Linked DNA regions of Schizosaccharomyces pombe. The protein of the gene in region 4 purifies or fractionates together with the protein of the main gene of each other region. This does not show direct contact. Each region holds a gene or a part of one and is shown on either strand. Other genes may lie near its edges.

What was found.
Region 1: the proteins of ntr2 (region 4) and smd2 purify together in Schizosaccharomyces pombe (affinity purification with mass spectrometry, with the first as the bait; one large-scale study listed by BioGRID). This does not show direct contact.
Region 2: the proteins of ntr2 (region 4) and sme1 purify together in Schizosaccharomyces pombe (affinity purification with mass spectrometry, with the first as the bait; one large-scale study listed by BioGRID). This does not show direct contact.
Region 3: the proteins of ntr2 (region 4) and msl1 purify together in Schizosaccharomyces pombe (affinity purification with mass spectrometry, with the first as the bait; one large-scale study listed by BioGRID). This does not show direct contact.

What each region holds. Positions count from the first base shown.
Region 1 is NC_003424.3:4,263,427-4,266,328, forward strand, and holds smd2 (Sm snRNP core protein Smd2), read right to left. Parts: upstream 1,166-2,902; 5' UTR 1,124-1,165; coding exon 1,119-1,123; exon of another isoform or gene 1,062-1,118; coding exon 961-1,061; exon of another isoform or gene 934-960; intron 901-933; coding exon 788-900; intron 727-787; coding exon 598-726; 3' UTR 527-597; downstream 1-526. Other genes in the region: serine palmitoyltransferase Lcb2, read left to right, coding at 1-273; protein aim29, read right to left, coding at 2,296-2,673. UniProt on the Schizosaccharomyces pombe protein: Plays a role in pre-mRNA splicing as a core component of the spliceosomal U1, U2, U4 and U5 small nuclear ribonucleoproteins (snRNPs), the building blocks of the spliceosome.
Region 2 is NC_003423.3:1,762,966-1,767,152, forward strand, and holds sme1 (Sm snRNP core protein Sme1), read right to left. Parts: upstream 2,232-4,187; 5' UTR 2,169-2,231; coding exon 2,130-2,168; intron 2,093-2,129; coding exon 2,003-2,092; intron 1,894-2,002; coding exon 1,818-1,893; intron 1,656-1,817; exon of another isoform or gene 1,589-1,655; coding exon 1,539-1,588; coding exon of another isoform or gene 787-1,538; 3' UTR 501-786; downstream 1-500. Other genes in the region: TRAPP complex subunit Trs20, read left to right, coding at 1-57; DNA-directed RNA polymerase I complex subunit Rpa34, read left to right, coding at 787-1,542; karyopherin Mtr10, read left to right, coding at 3,186-3,284, 3,336-4,187. UniProt on the Schizosaccharomyces pombe protein: Involved in pre-mRNA splicing. Binds and is required for the stability of snRNA U1, U2, U4 and U5 which contain a highly conserved structural motif called the Sm binding site. Involved in cap modification.
Region 3 is NC_003423.3:1,374,463-1,377,793, reverse strand, and holds msl1 (U2 snRNP-associated protein Msl1), read left to right. Parts: upstream 1-2,041; 5' UTR 2,042-2,072; coding exon 2,073-2,300; exon of another isoform or gene 2,301-2,373; coding exon 2,374-2,481; 3' UTR 2,482-2,805; downstream 2,806-3,331. Other genes in the region: ribosomal protein arginine N-methyltransferase Rmt3, read left to right, coding at 60-1,453; transcription factor TFIIIC complex subunit Sfc9, read left to right, coding at 2,859-2,966, 3,014-3,110, 3,169-3,256. UniProt on the Schizosaccharomyces pombe protein: Involved in pre-mRNA splicing. This protein is associated with snRNP U2. It binds stem loop IV of U2 snRNA.
Region 4 is NC_003424.3:3,567,421-3,571,249, forward strand, and holds ntr2 (spliceosome complex disassembly protein Ntr2), read right to left. Parts: upstream 2,126-3,829; 5' UTR 2,120-2,125; coding exon 2,023-2,119; exon of another isoform or gene 1,949-2,022; coding exon 1,872-1,948; exon of another isoform or gene 1,807-1,871; coding exon 1,721-1,806; exon of another isoform or gene 1,673-1,720; coding exon 847-1,672; 3' UTR 562-846; downstream 1-561. Other genes in the region: SPOM_SPAC17A2.07C (uncharacterized protein), read right to left, coding at 1-218, 321-438; RNA-binding protein Csx1, read right to left, coding at 3,027-3,829.

The DNA.
Region 1 (2,902 bases), 700 kb from region 4:
GTTGTTGGGTATCCTGCCTGTCCTTTGTTGACCTCTAGAGTGAGGTTTTGTTTCTCCGCTAGTCACAATAAAGCCGACATGGATTATTTTTTGAGAGCTTGTGATGAAGTTGGTGAGAAGCTTCAGTTGAAATTTTCCACCGGTGCAGCTGGTGAAGATGTGGGTAAGACTAACGTTGAAAAGATGAAGAAAAATCAAGGTTGGTTTAAACCTCCTCGTTGGAAGATTGAGGATGTATTGAAGCATGGAGTCCATGATGCACTTACACAGTAATGAATATGCTAGCATTGTATATTTGTAATGAAAATAATATGATTTTTGTGTCATAACCATTCTTTTTTTTATATAATAAATCTCTTAGGAAAGATGGGTGCTACATCTGAAAGCTTTCTGCAATTCATTCGCTTTTTTTTACGAAAGACATTCAAGGCACAACTAGAGAGACACTACAGATGGAGCCTTTTTTATTTTCAAATAAAGATATCTTTAATTAATAATAAAGTTAACACACGTATAAAATAGTTTTTTGTAAGCACATCGGGATATTTTGAAGTCGTTTCTAACTTAAGTATCCATTAGGTAGGAAAATGGGGTATATTATGCAGAGGGAATACGGACAACAAGAACGACACCATCACCACGAAGAAACATTTTGCTAATAAATCTATCTTTGTTGATAGCCTTTCCTTTTTTGCCAGAAGCTGTTCGTTTTTTTTCGGTCCACATCTAAGAATATATTAGCAAGTGTGGATGGAAAGAGAGACTAAAAGATGAAAAAAATTATTACCTCTTTGACATTTTCTAATACCATGTTGGAATGGCGATCAAATGCCTTTACTCTAGCAAGCAACTTTTTATTGTTTCGACAATTAATAAGAACTTGATCATGATTTTTTACCGCTAAAACAGAAGAGCCATTAGTATGTAAATTTAAAATTGACATTCTATCATATAGTATACCTTGTTGTAAAACACTTAATGGACCAGCAGAGAATTCATATTCTTCTAGACGAGCGAGTTCTATTTCGCTCAGTTCACTTCTAGGTTTATCAACCAAATCGCTAAATTATTAGAAAAAAGAAATCAAAAAATTTTAGATAAAAGGACAAAAGACATACGCCATTAGAACGATACAAGCTAGGAATATCAAAAATGGTAGAATTTTAAGTCTCTTGGGGGTCAAGGACAAGTGCTATTTAACGAGCAAGTTCAAGATTGCACAAAATGGATTTCAAGTTAGAAGCGAAATGTTGAAAATCAATTTCGGTTCAATATTTTACTATATCTTATTATTAATTAAAAAAAATCTTTTAATCACACACTTTAACTCATACCTGACAACTTTCAATGTGGGATATAAAAAACTGAATGCATTGTAATTGTTTATTGATTATAACATTAGAAGTATAATTGGACTACTTAATCACAAAATCCCTAAGGTCTCATAAACTAACTATCCTTTCAAATGCAAAGTCATTGAATTGAAGGATGAACACTAGCTACTTATGGAAATTAAGCTGAATAGACAAGCTTGTAGTTTTAGGAGTTTACTTTGATAATAAAAAAAATATATTCTAACACCAAAAACAATATTTTCTTAACATAAAGCAATGCTTTTGTGAAATCAACCATTTGAGCATTGGAAACTTCCTATCAAAAATTACATAGAAATTTTTGATTTTGGCTATATAAATTACATTTCATGATAAATGTACAGCTAAAGTCACTATGTCCGAGTGGTTAAGGAGTTAGACTTGAATCCTGTATTCTAGTCATCTAATGGGCTTTGCCCGCGCAGGTTCAAATCCTGCTGGTGACGGTATTTGTGCGCGGTAGGAGAGTGGAACTCCGACGGGCTCATAACCCGTAGGTCCCAGGATCGAAACCTGGCCGCGCAACTCTTTTTTTGCTTGTTTTTAAAATAACTTTTTATTAAGTATTGGTGTAGCGTTTTGATGAATGAGAAATGTTTTGTTCTTATATAAATATGTAGATAGGGACGTCCTTGGTGCTATTGGTACCAAGTCATAAAGTCGATGTTTACAACATTTGGTTTAAAATGCGTATTGTTTTGTATCATTTATTATTCTACATACTTTTGCTCACTACAATGCATTCTGCTATTGTCAATACATGAATTGCAACAGCGACCTAGGTAATTTTAAATAGTTGCACTAATAAAGACATCAGGAATTTTTTAGCGTAGTTTGAAAAATATTCAATTTAAATAACAAAGGTAAACTCATCTCCTATTCCTAACACCAACAATTGAACTCTTAATAAAGTTATGCATGTCTAAAGCCATTTTTGTACAGGATTTGCTTGATAGGCCTTGTAGGCAGCAAGTTCAAAGTAGGACAACTCAGTTTCATTTTCAATTCCACAAAGAGACAATGTTTTGGCTCCATCATTAAGAATCCAATCATCGTGGTCTAAATTAATAGCCAAGTTTTGGGTTTTGTGCTGCTGGGCTTTCACATAAATCTTCAACGTGTCAAAATGGGTAGTACGGTAGATTTTCAATGAGGGATCCGTTTGTATGCGTTCATCGATGATTTTTTTGAACTGGTCTACAGTCGTAGTGGCCAGATCTATGTCGTGGAAAACGACGTTTTTCAGTGTCCGATATTCAAAGTTGCGAATTACTCGAACAGTTAACGTTGCGCCCGTCATCCTTTTGAAAGATTTAAATAAAACCAAAGAGTAAAAAAGTACCAAATGATCAATAGTTAAATGACTGTAATTCGATTCTTATATAAGGGTTCGAAATCCTTGCGAAATTCCCAAAAACTTTCAAAATTATTTGTATTCCAAAAAAATGTCACAATAGCTTTTTGTTTCTCCAGAGCCTCACCTTTATGCTTATATTTTTCGTATATACAATTGCAATTTGATTAACACT
Region 2 (4,187 bases), on a different chromosome or scaffold from region 4:
ATTCGTTCTCAGGCTTTTGATTTAAAGGTCCGTTCAATTGCTAGAAGGTATCTGTGATGAAAAGGTGTTGGTTGATTTCTTCCTCACGTTCTTTCTCTCCAAAAAGCATTTATCTTTCTCTTGCCTTTTTATTTGTAAGAGTGAGGCATCTACAATGCCTATGCTGGCCGAGGTTGATAATTGTTCAATTTCCACATACATGAGGCATTGAAGAGGAAATGTTTGCAGATATGTATTTTTTTTTCAGTTTTAAATTTTGACTCATTGTGTTTACACTCTGTATACAACATATATATACGTCGTTCTTTAGTTATGTGTACCTCACTTCTTCCTACAATTGATATCCATTTTACATAAACACAAAATAATACTACATCCTTTAAGCAACTGGTCGCGTCAAGCTGCGACCGTTCTTAGTAGTCCGATCCTTACAGAAGCAATTGTCAGACAACTTAAAAAAAAAAAAAAAAAATCCCTATCTACTAGATAAAGAAAGATGTTGGGAATATTAATTTCTAGAAAAACAACATTTTTTAAGCCGAAAAAATAAAGTAGTGAACCGATTGCTCCATTTTAACTTTTTTCTTTACCTAAGAAGTAGAGTTCTTGCTATAACCACATACTTTTTATTTTTTGTTTCATCACATAAAAGTTCCTTTAATATGAATACTACCTTGTGCATCGTTATCCAGCTCGATGATACCTACGTTGTGACCCACAAGCTCACCAGAGCAAAATACAGGTACGCTTGCAAAATTTCACTTTAAATTCTACTGGGGCGTAGATATGGCAAAATCAAGTGAATTTGTAAACGAGGAAAGTTCAGAAGATGAATCTAGCGTTTCTAGCATAGAGGATCAGCATTCGTCGAAAGAACCTGAACAATCCGTGGAGAGCAACAATCACGGCGAATCGAACGCACAAGAAGATGTTGCAGAAATTGCTGGTTTAGAGAAAGTGCAAGGAAAGCCTGTTTTGACCACTAATGACTTGAAAAAGGAGTCCAATGTTTTTTTAGTACGACTTCCGCCTGGCATGTCCGCTGACCAAATAAGTCAGCTAAAGGTAGGCTCCAAACCTACAGTAGAATTAAAGCAGGAGAACGAAAACACCTATCAAATCCGAGAAGAATCAACAAGCTCCGTACGTGTGTTTTTACCTGACGAGCAAGGTTCCTATACGTCAAATGAAATCAAAACTGGATATGTGATTACAGAGACCCCCAAAATTTCACAAAACATTGATACTGGTATTACAATACCTACGCAGGCACCACTTGTTCCTCAAAGAAAGAATCTGAGACAGCATTTTCGCCCGATTGGAGATGCTGTAGGGCCTGAATCGGAACCTGAAGCTGAACCCAAGTCTGGCATCAAAGAACATATTTTACAAGAGACTGGTGATGCTACAGTAGAGGAATTACAAAATAAAGGGAAGGAAAAGCAAAAGGAATTGAAAAAGGGAAAAAGGGAAAAGAAGGATGAGGAAGAAAAACCTAAGAAGAAAAAGCAAAAGAAATCCAGCAAAAAGGAAAAAAATTAGATTGCTTGAATTAGTGTAATATTATCACCTTTTAATAGAATTCTACCTAAGCAATGTTAGCAATTGGTTTGGGAAATTGTTAAATATTTTAGAACAAAAATCTGCATCAACGGTTTGTTTTAGAATTTGTAAGGTTGCTGGAAACGCAATTTGGTAAATCAGCTTAAGACATGCATCTATTATTATTTTTGCTTCATGTAAAGACTTTTGAATAAAATCCCACCGAACATTCTTTCACATAAACCAAGGTTTTATTCGTCTAAAATCAGGCTTACCTAACTCCCTTTTATTATTTTTAGCATCTACTTGCACAGCATCGTCAAGCACAATGTTCATAAATTCGTCGAAGCCCTGTCATATATCGTTAGCAATTCATCAACTTGTCGTAGGGAAAATGAAGGTATTTCAAAATCCTAGGCCAACGACTATGAAGGGATTTTCCATAAAGTAAATTTCTTACCCTAATTTGTCCCTGAAGTCTTATATCTGTTTGTTCAAACAGCCAAATTGAAACAGGAGTATGTTGTTGCAACAATTTGAAAATGAAATTCTGCGTAAGTTAGCTATCCAACAACAATTAACCATACAATAGGAGGTATCATAACTTTTTGCACGCGTCCTGACATCTTGAAAACTTATTTTATCAAAAAACGAAATTCTATAGATGGTTGTGCAATGGTGCAGTTGGCGGCCTGTCAGCACTGACTTAGTGGATATTTAGCCAAGACCAAAAACCTCTTCAATAAATTTGTACCACATGGATCAATGTTTATCGATCCTTTATTTTTTTTTTATTTTTTTTAGATATGTAATTTGATCTTCAATAAGCTGTTTTAATTTTTTATCGACTTTCATACATACAAAAGTGTAGGTTGCTAAACTTCAATCAAAGCAGCCAAGATTGTATTGTTATTTTTATTAGACAATTTATGGACAATTCACTTGTTTAAATGATTGAGAAAAGCAAGAAATGTACTTTAGCGTGAGTAGCTACTCAGTAAAAAATGACATTAAAAAAAAACAATAAACAAGTTATCAAAGTTCAGCAAAAATTACATTAATTTAGACGATTAATATCCATAGATTCAAAAAGATTTGACAATAGAAATGAAGAAGACTGTAATGAAAATAGCCAAAATCTGATAAATATTTGGAAATCAGAATCCTTGAACAGCTCTAAATTAGGTTCTACCAGCTGCATCAAACGGATGTTTCATACATTAGATATTATATAATCCATATGTTTGCCAGTATTATTAGGAAACAGACTACTATGCGCTTTACATTGTATTTCGGATATATAAAATATAGCACGCGAAACTACTTTATGTGGCTAGAATTATATTATTATGGTAGCTATGTAAATAGCAATTGGAATACCTAAGCAAATTTTATTTTCTAACATTTGAAGTTTTTACTCTACCAAATGTATTAAAATTAAAAATCAACGTTATACTGAGACATAATGCCTTGAATGCTATTTATTATAATGATCATGGAAAACCTCCCGAATACTGTAATAAAGAGGTATAAGTTACTTGTTCCTTAAATAGGTCTTTTACTGCTACTACAGGTCTGAACCGAAACAAAAACACACGCTGCCAGTGCGTAAAGCAATCAATCTAAGTGATTTTTATGCCCTCATGGAAACGTTGTTAAGTGCTTTGGCTACTTTGTATGCCAACACTGATCGTGAGCAGAAACTTCAAGCAAACAACTACTTAGAAGAGTTTCAGAAAAGTGTAAGTCAGTCAGAGATTTGAACTGGATGATGTTAACCTGCATATTTTTAGCCTGCTGCATGGCAAATATGTTTTTCAATTTTGAATCAAGATGACAGCAGCATTGAAGCAAAGTTATTTGCCGCACAAACTTTGCGCCAAAAAATTGTATACGATTTTCATCAGCTACCTAAGGAAACACATATTGAATTTCGTAATTCCTTGCTACAGTTATTTTTAGCAGCTAAAGATAGTCCAAGACCTTTATTGGTATCATTGGCTGTTTGTATGGCTGCAATTGCTTTACATATGACTGAATGGCATAATGTTATAGCCGATGTTTTTCAAGCCTGTAGCTCCAAAGACCCCAGTGGAAGATGTGTTTTACAGTTTTTATCAGTACTCCCTGAAGAAGCTAGTGATCCAAGGAAAACTTCATTGAGTTGGGAGGAGTTATGTATTCGTGTTGATGAACTTCTTCGTGATAACGGTCCAGCAGTACTCGAGCTTCTGGTGCAATATGTCGATGCTGTCCGTGCTTCAGGATCTCCTTCGAGCGCTGACCTTGGTCTTGTTCTTACGAGTTTGATTTCCTGGTTGAGAGAAATTCCCCTTGATAAAGTTATGGCTTCTCCCTTAATTGAACTTGCTTTCCGTTCTCTGGATGATGACTTACTGTTAGAAGATGCTGTAGAATTTCTATGTGCCCTTTTTAATGAGACTAAAGATGTTGATGAAACTACTGATGCCATACTGATGCTCTATCCACGTTTACTTGAACTTCAGCCTAAACTTATTGCGGCCTGTGATGACCCAGAAACTTTTCGTGCACTAGGAAGGCTTTTTGCCGAGGCTGGTGAAGCTTGGGTTGTTTTGATTGCTAGGATGCCGAATGATTTTTTGCCTTTAGTAAACTGCATTGCT
Region 3 (3,331 bases), on a different chromosome or scaffold from region 4:
TTTAAAAATTTTGTATATCTATTAATATTCATACATGGCTAACTTTGGTTCTATTGTAGCACACAACTTTGACTTTTATCAAGTTAAGCAGCAGAATAATTTGGATTTCTATGCTTGCATTAAATTGGTAAATTACATTCGGTCTCAAGTCAAGGAAGGAAAAACACCAGATTTGGACAAACTTTCCGACATTTTACGGTCCGACGAATACATGATTTCTGTACTCCCTGACGACAGTGTACTCTTCTCGCTTGGCGATGAACTCGATTCAGATTTTGAGGACGACAATACTCTCGAAATTGAAGTAGAGAATCCAGCAGATGTTTCTAAAGATGCAGAAATAAAGAAATTAAAGTTACAAAATCAACTTCTTATCTCTCAGCTTGAAGAAATTCGAAAAGATAAAATGAATGAATTGACTAGTCAGACTACAGATCAGCTATCAGTTACCCCAAAGAAAGCAGATAACGATTCTTATTATTTCGAGTCTTACGCTGGAAATGATATTCATTTCCTTATGCTAAACGATTCTGTCCGGACCGAGGGATACCGTGACTTCGTTTATCATAATAAGCATATTTTTGCTGGAAAAACGGTTTTGGATGTAGGATGCGGTACTGGCATTTTATCCATGTTTTGCGCAAAGGCTGGCGCCAAGAAGGTTTATGCTGTGGACAACTCCGATATCATTCAAATGGCTATCTCAAATGCTTTTGAAAATGGTCTTGCTGATCAAATTACTTTTATTCGTGGAAAAATCGAAGATATCAGTTTACCGGTTGGCAAGGTAGATATCATTATTTCGGAATGGATGGGCTATGCTCTAACGTTTGAGAGTATGATTGATTCCGTCCTTGTTGCCAGAGATCGCTTCCTTGCACCTTCTGGAATTATGGCACCGTCCGAGACACGATTGGTACTTACAGCTACCACAAACACTGAATTGTTAGAAGAACCTATTGATTTCTGGAGCGATGTGTATGGTTTCAAAATGAATGGCATGAAGGATGCTTCTTATAAAGGTGTTAGTGTACAAGTCGTTCCTCAAACTTATGTTAACGCCAAGCCTGTTGTTTTTGCAAGGTTTAATATGCATACGTGCAAAGTTCAAGATGTCAGTTTTACTTCCCCCTTCTCTCTAATTATAGACAACGAAGGACCGCTTTGTGCTTTCACTTTATGGTTTGATACGTATTTTACGACTAAGAGAACACAGCCTATTCCAGAAGCTATTGATGAAGCTTGTGGATTTACAACAGGCCCTCAAGGCACTCCTACTCATTGGAAACAATGCGTTTTGTTACTACGTAATCGTCCTTTCCTTCAAAAAGGCACTCGTGTTGAAGGAACTATTTCCTTTTCAAAAAATAAAAAAAACAATCGTGATTTGGACATTTCGGTTCACTGGAATGTAAATGGGAAAGCTGACTCTCAAAGCTACGTGTTGAATTAGGATCAAAGTCTTTACTTAAAAATATAGAATTACTGATTAATGTTACTATGCTGTAGGTTTTTGGATTAGGAATCTTGCTGGGGTTTTAAGGCATTTCCTGTAAAATTATTTCCCCAGAGTGGGAATACGGTGGATCGAAAAAATCATCTAGTCTTAAAATATTCTCTATTTTCTATACTACTAAAAAATAACATTTTTTCAATCTTTTAAATATGGAAATTTGAGTACATAAGGATTAAACTATCAACAACTGCACAATGCTTGGGAAAGATTTTTAACGTGAACTATTATTATCGTTGATTTTTTGTTACGATTTGATTATATTTAAGGGATCTCTAAAAATAATTGTGACTTGAATCATAATTCAGATGACTAGCGTTCAATGGTCGTAGAATTGCAAATAAACATATTTCGTTCCGGAAAATTAAATATGGATATTTATAGCCTTAAAAGATAAATTAAAAATGTAAAAGCTTTAGCATTTTAATGTAATTAAGACGAGCCTTTTCAACAATCCATTCAATAAGTTAACTCATAGCGATTGTTAGCGCGCAGTGTTTGCAGGTAAAAATATAAGGTAAAGAGTTCAGCATTTGCAAAACACCAAACTAGGGCGAAAATGAATCAAAATACACTTTATGTGAATAATTTGAATGATAAAATTAATAAAAATGATTTAAGAACAGCACTATATATGCTATTCTCCACTTATGGGACCGTGGTTGATATTGTCGCGTTGAAAACTCCCAAGATGAGAGGTCAAGCTCATGTTGTATTCTTTGATCCCTCTGCCGCTGCAATTGCGATGAAGGCCTTAAAAAATTTCATATTCTTCGGAAAGGAAATGGTATGCTGTGAAATGAGCTTTCTCATTAATCCCCATAAAAAAACAAAAACGATTGACTAACATCTTTAATAAGAAAATTCAATACGCTCATTCGAAAAGTAAGATTATTGAAAGAATCGTCGCCGAAAATGACAGCAGAGGTCCTTTAAAACGGCTACGTGATGAAGCTGACCTTGAGTAAACTGTACATTTTCTAAAATTCACAATTATCGTTTTATATAGGGTAACTTTTTTCGGGATCCTGTTGGAGTCAAGAGAGTTATAAAGAGTGGTTTTCCTTTTTCTCTCTTTTTGTTCTTCACTGTATATACCTGTTGGTTTTAGTTGTTTCAGGTGTCAGTGTTTGCAGACAGTAAAGCGGACCGATAACACCATCGCATTGTTGCTAAGTTTTATAAGATGAAGCAAAATTCTAGTCCAATATCATCTTGTTTACAGCTATTTTAGTGGATTTTTCATGCAAGTCTTTCTCAACTAGCATTGCGCAAGGCACTGAACTTTAACGCATTTGATGGAATTGTTCACCTGGCTTCAACATCGCTCGTCGTCTTTCTTACAATGGGAAAGGATGTAGCATTGGATTTTCTTCCATCAAGCTTGTATAGCTGTACTTGTTCTTGCGATGGAAAATTGGCTTTTTGCGATTCAGAAAAAGTCCAAATCTTGGTACATATCTCAAATTGACGTGTTCGAGACTAGCTAATTCCCTTCAGGTACCTTCAACTGAAGCCAATACGCCTAAGTTTATGAAGGCGCTAGCCTATTTAGATGATGTGGAAGATGAACTACCAAATTGCCAAATGCTTGCTCGTATGTTCCCAATGCCCTTTGATGCTTATGAGAGTATAAAAGCTAACGTGTTTTACAGCTAATGAGCTTCGTTTAGGAGATCTAACTCCAAGTGTCATAAGCCGCTATGTGGTCTGGTCGCCAACAGGTCTCGCAGACAATTACGAGTATGTTCTTAAAAAGAGAAGACTTGAGTTTGACTTTACTTAACATTCCACTCGGTTTGTGTTTTTGTGCGTAAA
Region 4 (3,829 bases):
ATTCGAATTCAAGAGCAAAAATAGAAAATCCCGTTTCAATTTCTTTTCCAAAGGAGAGATCACAGAAAGTTGTGTCCGTGGAGCTTCGTCAGCCTCTTCTGTAGGCTTATTTATGCTGTCATCTTCTTCCAGTTCAGCATCCAAGTCTTCTACAACAATTGTGTACTCATTTTTGTAGTAAGCTACACGCTTGCAGGTTGGCATTTCAATATCAGAATCTGCACCGACTGTTAATATATTGACATGGAATAAAGGATATTGTAAGAGAATTCGCTTTCCCTTTTAAATTTATTCAAAAGGTTAATCGATAGTATACATACCATCATATTCTGAAGTATCCTCTATTGTAAGCTTCTTCAATGGCCTTTCGATAATTTCGAGGATTCTTTTCGTCGAATAATCATCTTTTGACGCATAATAGCTTCTTTTCAGAGCCATTGAGACGATAAAATGACAAGTCTTATTGTAAACCCACTTTTTGGCAGTAGGTAAAATGTATTCTCTTCAACACACAAAATCCATTGTAAGTGACAATGCTACTTACTAAAGTTTTGAATACTCAGAGGCTATAACTTTAATATGTGATAAAGCTAATGAAATCTTCTAGCAATTAATATCTATTATCTCCATAAATATCGGGTCATTATTTTTTTGTAATTCCCGGTGACTTCTTGGCACTGTTTTTCTATTTCAACAAGTCACCGATGGGCTGTAACAGCTAATTAATACTGTACAAGGATAAGAGTTCTGTAAGAAATGTAAATCTAAGTTATAGCGTTAAGTAAATTTATCGACCATGTCTTTCTTCTTTGTTTTTTTTTTATCAATTAAAAAATCCAAAGTAAATCAGGATTTGCTTTTGGTAAGGTTGTTCAACAAAGTTTTATCTAAATCAATGAAAGAATGTTTAATCTTTTCCTCTTGTTCATTAATCTCGAGTTCTTCTTCCATAAGTGATTTAATAATCTGTGAACGCTCCTCCTGCTGAAGCTTCTCAGAAGCTATTGCTTCTTTTAGCCGCTGAATTTGTTCATCCATTGTAAGAATATTAGGAAGCTTCACAGAAAGTCCATTTGTAAAAGCAGGAGATTCTCCAAAGGCACCTTTCTTGATTTGAGTATGTTCCCATGATTGGATGGGCTCTGCTATGTCTTCATCGTCCAATTCCATCTCCATATTTTTCTGGTCGACGGCCATTTGAATTGATCGTGTCCGTAAACTTTCCGAGCTATGGTGGTATATTTCTTGAAGTTTTTCTGACTCCTCCACGTAATTTTCAAATCCAGAGTAACCTTCATCTTGAATTTCGTCTTCCGTTTGAAGCAATTTCTCTTCTTTATGATTTTGTGCCAACATCAGTTGGTCCCCTGTTTCAAGTGAAATGTAATTATCCGTCATCATGGCAATGTTTCTCTTTCTTCCTTCTCGATCCTTTAACTCCTTAATCATTGCTTCCTCAGGAATGCCTTGATTAAGCATATTCCATTCCAAACTAGTATTAACGGGTAAAGGAGGTGACGATCTTGTTTGCAATTCGCTTTCTTTGGTCGAGGAATCCTCCTCCTTCTTTGTAAATTCTGATGGTGTCTGCCTACTTTTTCTCTTTAACTCATCCACATAAGCATTGGAGTATCCACTTTCATGCGAGAGAGCATCCATTCTTCGCGATATTCTTTATTAATTAGATAACTAATACTTGGACTTAAAACATTTTACTTACAAATCATCAACCGAATGAAAAGAGCTTTGCTTTTTTACCTTTGGAATCAAAGGGATTTGAGAATCCTCCCCATCGTCGTCTCCTTCCTAATCAATGTTTGTTAATATAACAGATGAATTGGTAAAACGTTTTCCAGCAAAAAACAACTTACCTCGTTCTCATATTTCACCCTAAATTTTCCCGAATTTTTTTCTTTCGCTTTTGTTTTTCTTCTATTTGCATTTTTGTCTAAGCATTGTTAGTACACTTGCGATAATAAGTTCTATTCGAGCCCAAGCACTTTTGCGCTTTTAAGTTCTTACTTGATTGAGAAACGTTTAAATTTTCTTCATGCTTTTCTTCCTCATTGTCGCTCGTTTGCACGATTTTAGGCTTCGCCTTTTTTAAGTATCGTCGCATGTTGGTAAATGGGTGCTACTTTCTAGGCAAACATATTTCTACCAATCTTTCATATTGAATAGCTATTTTTGTAAAAAAAAAATCATATAAAGTCTTAATTAAAATGATGTTTTTATGTTCTGTGAAAATTAGAAAGGGATAAACATAAATGTCTTTACTTGGGCATTTAATATTATGGCACATACTGAAGAGGTGCATCGGATAATGCAAAGCATCAGAAAAGTATTTGTTCAATTGACTTACATTTTTTTCGACTAATTTTAGAGAAATGTGTTTGAAATTCAAGTTTCAGATTTAAAACTTTTAATTGAAAAGCTACAATCGACAAGCTACCAATATCTACTACAGTCACTGGAAAATTTCCATTATATAAGTTGAAAACAAAAACAATGCTTTTAATTATTTAGAAAATCAGAAGAAAAAATAACAAAATTATTTTTTGGAAAGGACATTTTAAAATAAAACATATAAATAACTCATCGATCCAAAAAAAAGATTTGGACGTTTGAAAAACCTCAATGGAAGTTTTCATGTACATATGTGCATTAAGGAACAACAGCAATGAAAGAAAAATAAAACAATCATAAATAAAACAATCCTTGGCACAAATAATATTCAACAGTTATAAAAAACATCACAAGAGAGATTTAACATACAAGAATAAAAACAAAACAAAATAAAAAAAATCACGAGAGCACCCTTCAGTTCTTTAAGACATTAAACTAACTTGATCAGGAGCCCTCGAAAACTTATACGGATGCCTTTGAAAAACGAAAATAAATAAAAAATTAAAACAAAAACATTAGAAATAAAACAAGAATATTCGGGAAATCCCTTCACTTAAGAAGAGAAGTGGAAGAAACAAATAGTAGTAGTAGTAATGCATTTCAAACATCATAAAAATAATTTATGAATCGCGTGACAAGCGTAGAGAAGGTTGCAAGTATTGACCAGTACAATTAAATGTAGAATAAGAACGAGGAGGCAAGCGACCTCTCAAGTTCAAACCAAAGCCGGATTTCTCCAAACCGTTTTCATTTTGCTCCAACTCATGACGGAGATCAATTAGTGAAGACTGACGCTCCCTTCCTAGGTTCCAAGGCCTAGAAGCTCTCGCTTGAAATGCTGAACCATTCAAAGAAGCAGGTTGCTCATCATCAACCAACTTTAAGGAGGAAACACGTGTTAATAAATCTTGAGTAGCAAAGGAGTTATGATTGTTGCCGGAAAAAGGCTGCAACCATTCGGGGAGCTTCACACTAGGCTGGACCTTTGCAGAACCATTAATTTTTGAGGATTGCAAAACAGAAGACTGAGGATACACCTGTCCGCCTACCAAGCCAGTGGCAGCTGAAGGGAAATGGGAAGAAAGAGGTGTCAAACCTGAGCCACTACCGGACAACGTAGGAGAAATGGAGGCTGAACGAGACAAAGGAGGTGGAGAAATGGTTGAAAAATTTACGGAGTTCATGCCATTGATTGAGGAAACAACGGAGTTTGGCAACAAAGATTGCGCAGCAGCAGTACGAGGTGAAACAGGTGCACTCTTCAAGCTAGAGCCGGATGAGTTTGAGCTGCCAGAGTTTGCTCCAATGACAGATTGATTCATACCGAAAATTTGGTTAGCGGAAAGAGTTCTGTCGAAGCCCTCATCTGAAACTTGGGATTGAGATTGAGACAAGGCAGATACAGGAAGCGTATTATGACCCC